Linked DNA regions of Coturnix japonica. The protein of the gene in region 1 interacts with the protein of each later gene in a pairwise test. Links are inferred from orthologs where the notes say so. Each region holds a gene or a part of one and is shown in the gene's direction. Other genes may lie near its edges.

Region 1 (3,822 bases):
GGAATGTGCTCAAATGTTTGAGGCCACGCAGAGCAGTCCAGCACGCACAGAACTGGCTGAGAAACTAAAAATTCATAGTTGTGCCACACTCTTCAGCTTCTATGTGGGTAGCACTGAGATGACTATCCTATAAAAGGCACTCCATGATTCATAAACGCATACAGCTACAAAGCAGTTGCTTGCTAGTAAGCAGGCAAAGCAAGTTGTGTGTTTGTCTGATATGTGATAACTTTAATTATTAAATGTGTGATTGGTGTACTGCAGTGTGTGACACTGCTGCACTTAATGTCCCATGGAGTGACTATAAGCATACTGGGGGAAAGGCTCTACTTCCACTTATTTTAGCAATGGCAATCAAATTCTGGGAAGTGCAAAGCTATGTTCTGTATGGGTGAGAGGGCACTCAATACTTCCAAGAGATCCAGTCCCATGTGCCTCCTTTGAGTGTTTCAAAGTCATTTTCTATTTCAGTACACCTTTCATTAAGTATAGATCTGCATTTGCTCTAACGTGCACGTTGATAAGAGATTTACCTAAAATGCATGTGATTTCTCTCACTCATTTTCCTTTTTTCCTCTTCTTAGTGTCTCTGCCTCAGCAGGAGAATACTCTGCCAATCAAGGAATCTTCACCATCTAACAATGCAGACATCAGAGTATTCAATTCCCCTCAGGTACACTGGAACACACGCTGCCTACAAGGGTTTTAGAGTCTGGGGTTTGTTTTTTCTTTGCCTTCACTTTGAAACCATACTTGGTTGGCTCTCTGTTGTTTCACTAATCCTTTCCACTTGATTTAGTAAGGGGACAAGAATATTTGTTCTGCATATAAGAAATACAGCTGCATATAGCATCAGATAGTTTAGACTGAAGAACTACTATTGCTCATGTGCAATTGGAGAACAAGATAACATTAGGAGGAGAAATATGAGAGAGAGATGTAAGAAGGCCTTCTAGAGAATGAGGCATGAATTGCAGATTTTTAAGGTTTCGTCTGATCATTACTGAACTATTTATCTCCATAATGAAAGATCATTTGGAAATGGAAAAAAAAAATAAATTTGCTCTTTCTCTTGATCCATATGAAAAAAAAAAAAAGGCTGTTTGCAGCTCTATGAGATTTGCAGTAAGTGAAAAAAGTCTTCTGTAGTTTCGTTATGTTTCCTGCTCTTAGGAACTCAGTATTTTTGTTACCTGCTACTTAGAAAGCTTCGGTGTTTATAAGCCTGTCTTTCTGTAACCACTATGAAATATATATGTACGTAAAATAATTTTAACATGTGCTTTCCTCCACTCAAAAATAGGAGACCTCAATCAGATTTGTCAGTCCCAGTATCCATGGTAAGACTTTCCAAAACTCAGTTTTGTTGGTTTTACATTTAATTTTATATACACTTATTTACTGTAAACAATTTCTAACATTTAGTTTAATGCTAAGCACTTAACTTGCTGTCTTACCTGGAAAGGTCTTCTGCTTTCTGCACAAGAAGATCTGAAGGATTTCTGCTCTTATGTAAATGTGTGAAAATTGGCAAATCCCGTGCACTTTGTTAGTCATTCACTAGAAACTAACGTGGTTTTTTCAGTGCTCTGTTTAAATATGAGGAAGGAATAGATCACTGTGACTGTTCATTGAACTGAACTGTTAATTTGTTTGTGTGAGACTTTACCTCAAACTTATTTTGCTGTATAGGTCATTGTGTTGAGGAACCTGTGAGCTCATGGGAACTTACTGGAAGAGTGAACTCTATTCCTGGAAGCCAAGGTTTCTCTTCTCTTAGGGTTTCAGTGTTAAGCTATTTTTATTCTCTGCTGCCTGAAATTTAATGTGTTATTTAAAAGGACCACACCAGTTCTTGTAGCACTTTCTGCCATACCTTTGGGACCTCAATAGAGGAAATGAGAAGATGTGCTGGACTTCATGTCTCTCTATTCCAGTTCAGGAATGCCAGTTCTCTGGGATTTCTTCTCAGATATTTGCTGAACAGCTGTTAAAATAAGCAGAAAATAGAAGGTCTGAGGACAGAAATAAGCAAGCAAACAAAAACTGGTTTAGTTCCTGGCACCTACATACACTAGTGAGAGCATAATATATACAGTTAATGTTTGCACATCTTCCAGTGACTTTCTGGAAAAGTAAAGCTAGTAAGATTACCAGTTGAGGAAGTCACCAGGTGTTATACAGTGGGATGTTTTGAATGCATTAAGTAGCCTAAGACAGGTACGAGAAGGAGGGGAGAGCATGTTCAAAAGGAAACATAAATTAATTAGCAGTGAATCACAATTTGGATCAGATCTCTGAAAGGATTTTGTGGAAATAACAGTGGATGGTATGTGTACAGCTATTTTTGTAACTCCACAACATACTGGCCTGTTAAAAAGTATCACAGCGCAACCTGCTGTTTTCCACTTGGAACTTTTTTGAATGCTGCTTGAAAATTTGATCTCAGAGCTATTATGAACCACTCAGGAACTAAAAGCGTTCTGCAATGGGAGCTTCAGTAGTCAGACACAGATCCTTCTTATGGTGCACTTTATTTCTAAATATTTCTAATTGAAAAATTAATTTGGCTATTGCAGTTAGAGTCTATCATTGTGCCACAAATATCTTTGATCCCTAAAACCAATGCAAGCAGAAACCATGCCTTTGACATGAAAATACATAAAATAACTGGAGACATGTTCAGACATGTTATGCCTTGTATGTGACAGTGCTATCTCATACAGAAAGAATTATTCCTTTAGATGTATCAACATTTTAAATATAAAAAGGGCTGTACTGTAATTAAAATCATTTTTGCTACATACACCAGTACTGGGTTAATACTCATAAATATTTATACTGCTTTTTCCTAGATAACATGGCACCTAATCTTACACAAGTCTTCTCTAAAATGAACCTGCAGCTGTCAGGAGGATTCAGTGGAGCAGAAAATGAACCCAAGGTTTGAAATAATCTCTTAAACGATTATTTGTGAATCGTGTAGGTATATAAGGTCTCCATCCTTGCAGTGGCATGCAACAACACGTGAGATTTCTCTGTCTCATGAAACTGGTTGAGCAGTCTGATGAACCAGAATATTTTGGAGGGCATTCTAACCTTGGAGGTCAGAAACTTAACAATATTGAAAGACACGGTACAGGCAAAGCTGTCACATTACTTTGGTGCTATGCACACACCATTATCTCCCCGATACAGGGAAACCACCTTGCATAATCTTGAGCTGCAGATTTTGGAGATGGCATCAGAACGTGCACGTAGAAATAGAGAAGACAAATATATCTTCACATTTCTATCTCTCTAGATGTGGCTTAGAAAAAGCTTCAGGGTGCCCTGAAATAAGACAGTGGGTAGCGTGCAAAGGCTGCATAAGAAGGATAAGAGAAGACAAGAATGCTCAGTAATCATGGACATGTAATGCACCAGGGGTCTTGGTTCAGGGGAAAAGATGCCTTTTGTGAGGTATCTTTTTAGAAGTCGTATGTGTATTCTTTAAGCTTGCATAGCAGAGTAACTGATGAATTCTCCCTGCGTCTTTTTCCTTATGATAAGCACAGATATTGAGGAAGCACGTAACTGCATTTGTCTGTACCTGTTTAATTTAAGTTCTGTGCCATCAACTGATGTTCGTAACACTCTAGCAAACACCACTGTCTGCTACTCTTGAAGGACTTTTTGGAGTGGTGTCTTCATTTCCTTCTATTAAAATGCAAAAAATTAAGGTGCTTTTCATTGTTCTTTCCAGTTAGCAGAGAGGAACTAGAATGGTGGAACTCTTAATTTTAATCTGAGGTTGAATTTGAAGAGATCATATTTGAAGTT
Region 2 (3,822 bases), on another chromosome or scaffold:
TTTGATGTCAAGTTTGACATGTTTTTCTTAATGCTGGCAGATAAACCTACTATTACACCAAAAAAGGGTTTCATAGGGAAAGGAAAGGACATTACTACTAAACACGATGAAGTGGTTTGTGGAAGAAAGAACACTGCTCGTATGGAAAATGTAAGTGAAAGCTTAGGAAGATTCACTCTGAGTTCTGAGCTCAGAGCAATACATTTTTGATGCTTTGAAACTCATTTTGTAGCATGTTATCCCTTAAGCCTTAATCTGCCTTAGATTTTTTGCAGATGAGAATGAGAAATTCCTGCTTTTGCCAACTGTTGTCTGCTAGTACCAATACCTAACAGTTACCTCTACTTGTAGTTTGCACCGGAGTTTCAAGTTGGGGATGGAATTGGGATGGACTTAAAGCTGTCAAATCAAGTCTTCAATGCCTTAAAGCAGCATGCATACTCTGAGGAACGTCGAAGTGCAAGGCTCCATGAAAAGAAAGAACATTCCACTGCAGTATGTTTTTTTAAGTCTTTTTATCCTCTCTATCTTATGTAATGGTAAAATACTGTTTTGGTAATTCCTTGATGAATACTGTTTTTAGTAAAAGAGGTTGTTTTAAACCTGTCTTTAACTCTGCTAAATGAGCCTAGAGATTGTGTATAGAAATCATCCAGCAAATACCCTGAAGCATGTGGCTGTGCAAACATCTGTCCTCATAGCAAGTTTCAGGAAGATGAGGTGACTTAATAAATTTTTCCTTAATAACTTAGGAAGTCAGTAGATAGCTTTAATGAGTCTGGAACTGTGCCTGTGGTAATTCCTGCTGTGAAGTCTTTCAGACTTAGATGTTTTACTTTACTGTAGCTTATACAAAAGTAATGCGATATTTGGGATTGTTCTTGAAAACACTATAGGAAGTTCTCTTAAGGAATAATCTGAGTCTAGACCATGCAGCAGAGTGTACCTACAGTAAATTAATGGATTATGTGAGTCTAGGAGGTCTGGGGGAGGTAGCTGGCTCGCTACAGGATTGTGCAGCAATTCAGAGGGATCTTGACAAGCTGGAGAGGTGGGCAGGCAGCAATGTTCTACAGTTCAGCAAGGAGAGATGCCATGTCCTGCACTGGGTTGGAACAGTTCCTGGAACCAGAAGTGTGCTGGGGGCCACCTAGTTGGTAGAAAGCAGTCTAGCAGAAAAGGACCTGGTAGCCAGTGAGGTGAACATGGGCCAGCAGCACACCCAGTCGTCAGCACACCCAGACCTTCAGTCAAGAAGGCTGATGGCATCCTGGGCTGCTTTAGGCAAGGTATTGCCAGTGGGTTGAGAGAGGTGATCCCTGCTCTCTACTCAGTGCTGGTGAGGCTGCTACTGGAGTGCTGGTCCAGTTCTCAGCTCTGCAGTACAAGAGAGGCATGGACTGAGTCCAGCAGTGGGCCACTGAGATGATGAAGGGGCTGGAGTATCTTTCCTGTGAAGCAAGGCTGGGAGGGCTGGGAGTGTTCAGCCTGGAGAGTAGGCTTGGGGGTGTCTCATCAGATATATAAATACCAGAAGGGAGCACTCAGAGAAGATGGGACCAGGCTCTCTTCAGTGGTGTCCAGTGCCAGGATGAGAGGCAATGTGTGTAAATGGAACATAAGAATTTCCATCTGACATTGGCACAAGTTGCCCAGAAGCTATGGAGTGTCCTCATTGGAGGTCTTCAGCTGCTGCTTGAATGCAGTCCTGGTCACCCTGCTCTAAGTATCCCTGCTTGACCAGGGCTTAGGCCCCACCTTGTCAATGGAGAGAGCACTTTTAATATGCTATTTTTCCCATGCAGTTAGGCACCTATAGTGTATAAATACTATAAACTCATTGTAAAAGCAAAGGGTTATTTTAATAATTCATGTACTTATTTCTCACCCGCAGGAGAAAGCAGTGGATCCTAAAACACGTTTACTTCTGTACAAGATGGTCAGTGGTGGAATGCTAGAGACCATCACAGGCTGCATCAGCACGGGGAAAGAATCTGTTGTTTTTCATGCATATGGAGGAAAGTAAGTATGTTGTTTGTTACTGACAGTAGCCTGAAGTGCTAGAGAGAGCCTAAAAAGGAGAAAGCTCAACATATTTGAACAATCTGTGTTTATTTCATTGCCAGGACTTGAACTTTTAGTTCATATGTATGCAGTGATAAGTTCTGCAAGCCAAATAGCGCCAAAAAACCCCAAACCTTCCACTTTCTTCTCTGGAGATGTGTTAGGAACAAGTCAACTGTAGCGTTCTGTGAAGGTCTGTTCCCACTGACCTACCCTGGGCTAGAAAGCCATCATGATGATCTTGGGCTACTTGAAGGTTGATAACATATGATCAAAGTTCCAAAAATCAAATATTTCATATTCAAGCTCAACAGCCTTTACAAACGTAACTCAAAGTGATTTTCAAGCTTGATACAGTAACAAAAAAGCAATAAAGCAAATGTACGTTTTCTTGCGAGGATGTGAATAGTGAATGTTGTTGTGTGCTTGACTCTTTTCCACGAGAAGTGCAACTGAAGATGATAAAGTTATACCTCCAGAATGTGCCATTAAGGTGTTCAAAACCACTCTCAATGAATTCAAAAACCGTGACAAATACATCAAGGATGACTACAGGTTCAAAGACCGCTTCAGTAAATTGAATCCGCGGAAGATTATTCGCATGTGGGCTGAGAAAGAAATGCATAACTTAACAAGGTAAAAATAAGCAGTCTATTTTATTAAATGCTTGTTGGTTTCCTACTCTCTGCTTTAGAAAGTTAGAATGTGTTTGGGTAGAAGTCTACATTTGTTGTTGGCATAGACTGAATAAGCATCTGTTTTCTTACAGTTTAATGAATTAAGAGCGTCTTCAGGGATTTGGCAGTTGAATTTATAAGCCTGTGAAGTTAGCAGCCTCTAGCTGTATAAGTAATTAGTTTTCCATTACCATTTTTAGGCACATTTTGGATAACTCAGACTTTAGAGTCCTAAGTGAAATGTAGAGGGGTAGAAATACGTAACCACTTAACAGTCCTCTGTGTCAAAGACTTCAGCCTGGAGAAGGGAAGGTTGCGGGGTGACCTCATTGCAGCCTTTCAATACCTGAAGGGAACCTACACCCAGGAGGGGAGTAAACTCTTCGAAAGGGCTGACAATAGCAGGACAAGGGGAAATGGTTTTAAGTTGAAAGAGGGAAGATTTAAGTTGGATGTTGGGGGGAAGTTCTTCACTAGGAGAGTGGTTAGGCCCTGGAACAGGTTGCCCAGGGAGGTTGTGGATGCCCCGTCCTTGGAGGTGTTCAAGGCCAGGTTGGACGGGGCCCTGGGCAACCTGATCTAGTAAATGTGTATGTTTGGTGGCCCTGCTAGGCAGGGGGTTGGAACTACATGATCCTTGAGGTCCCTTCCAACCCGGGTCATTCTGTGATTCTGTGACTTCTGGGTCAGATCTCTCGCATGCAGCTTTGAACTGAACAAGCCATAACTAGATTGTGTTTTTTTTTAATTGTTATTGCTTTATTTTTATTCTTGATATTTATTTATATAAATATTTATTTATATAAATATTTATCAATATTTATTTGTCTTTATCCACAGAATGCAGAATGCAGGAATTCCTTGTCCTCAAGTGGTTATCCTTAAGAAACACGTCTTGGTTATGTCTTTCATTGGCCAGGATCAAGTCCCAGCACCTAAACTAAAGGATGTGAAGCTTAATAGTGAAGATATGAAAAAGGCCTACTATCAAGTTCTTGATGTAAGGCAATGCCGCTGTGACATCTACTTTTATTGAATGACGTGAAGGACAAATCAGCATTTATTTACTTTCTAGGATCAA

Evidence for each region.
Region 2: the proteins of CASP10 (region 1) and RIOK3 interact in binary tests that used the Homo sapiens proteins (3 or more experiments, as listed by UniProt). The link is inferred for Coturnix japonica from reciprocal best matches to the Homo sapiens genes CASP10 and RIOK3.

What each region holds. Positions count from the first base shown.
Region 1 is NC_029522.1:9,912,551-9,916,372, forward strand, and holds part of CASP10 (caspase-10), read left to right. Parts: exon of another isoform or gene 1-584; coding exon 585-673; exon of another isoform or gene 674-1,303; coding exon 1,304-1,340; exon of another isoform or gene 1,341-1,692; coding exon 1,693-1,764; exon of another isoform or gene 1,765-1,987; intron 1,988-2,855; coding exon 2,856-2,944; intron 2,945-3,822. UniProt on the Homo sapiens protein: Involved in the activation cascade of caspases responsible for apoptosis execution. Recruited to both Fas- and TNFR-1 receptors in a FADD dependent manner. May participate in the granzyme B apoptotic pathways.
Region 2 is NC_029517.1:92,943,379-92,947,200, forward strand, and holds part of RIOK3 (serine/threonine-protein kinase RIO3), read left to right. Parts: intron 1-40; coding exon 41-150; intron 151-351; coding exon 352-495; intron 496-1,894; coding exon 1,895-2,022; intron 2,023-2,508; coding exon 2,509-2,700; intron 2,701-3,581; coding exon 3,582-3,741; intron 3,742-3,822.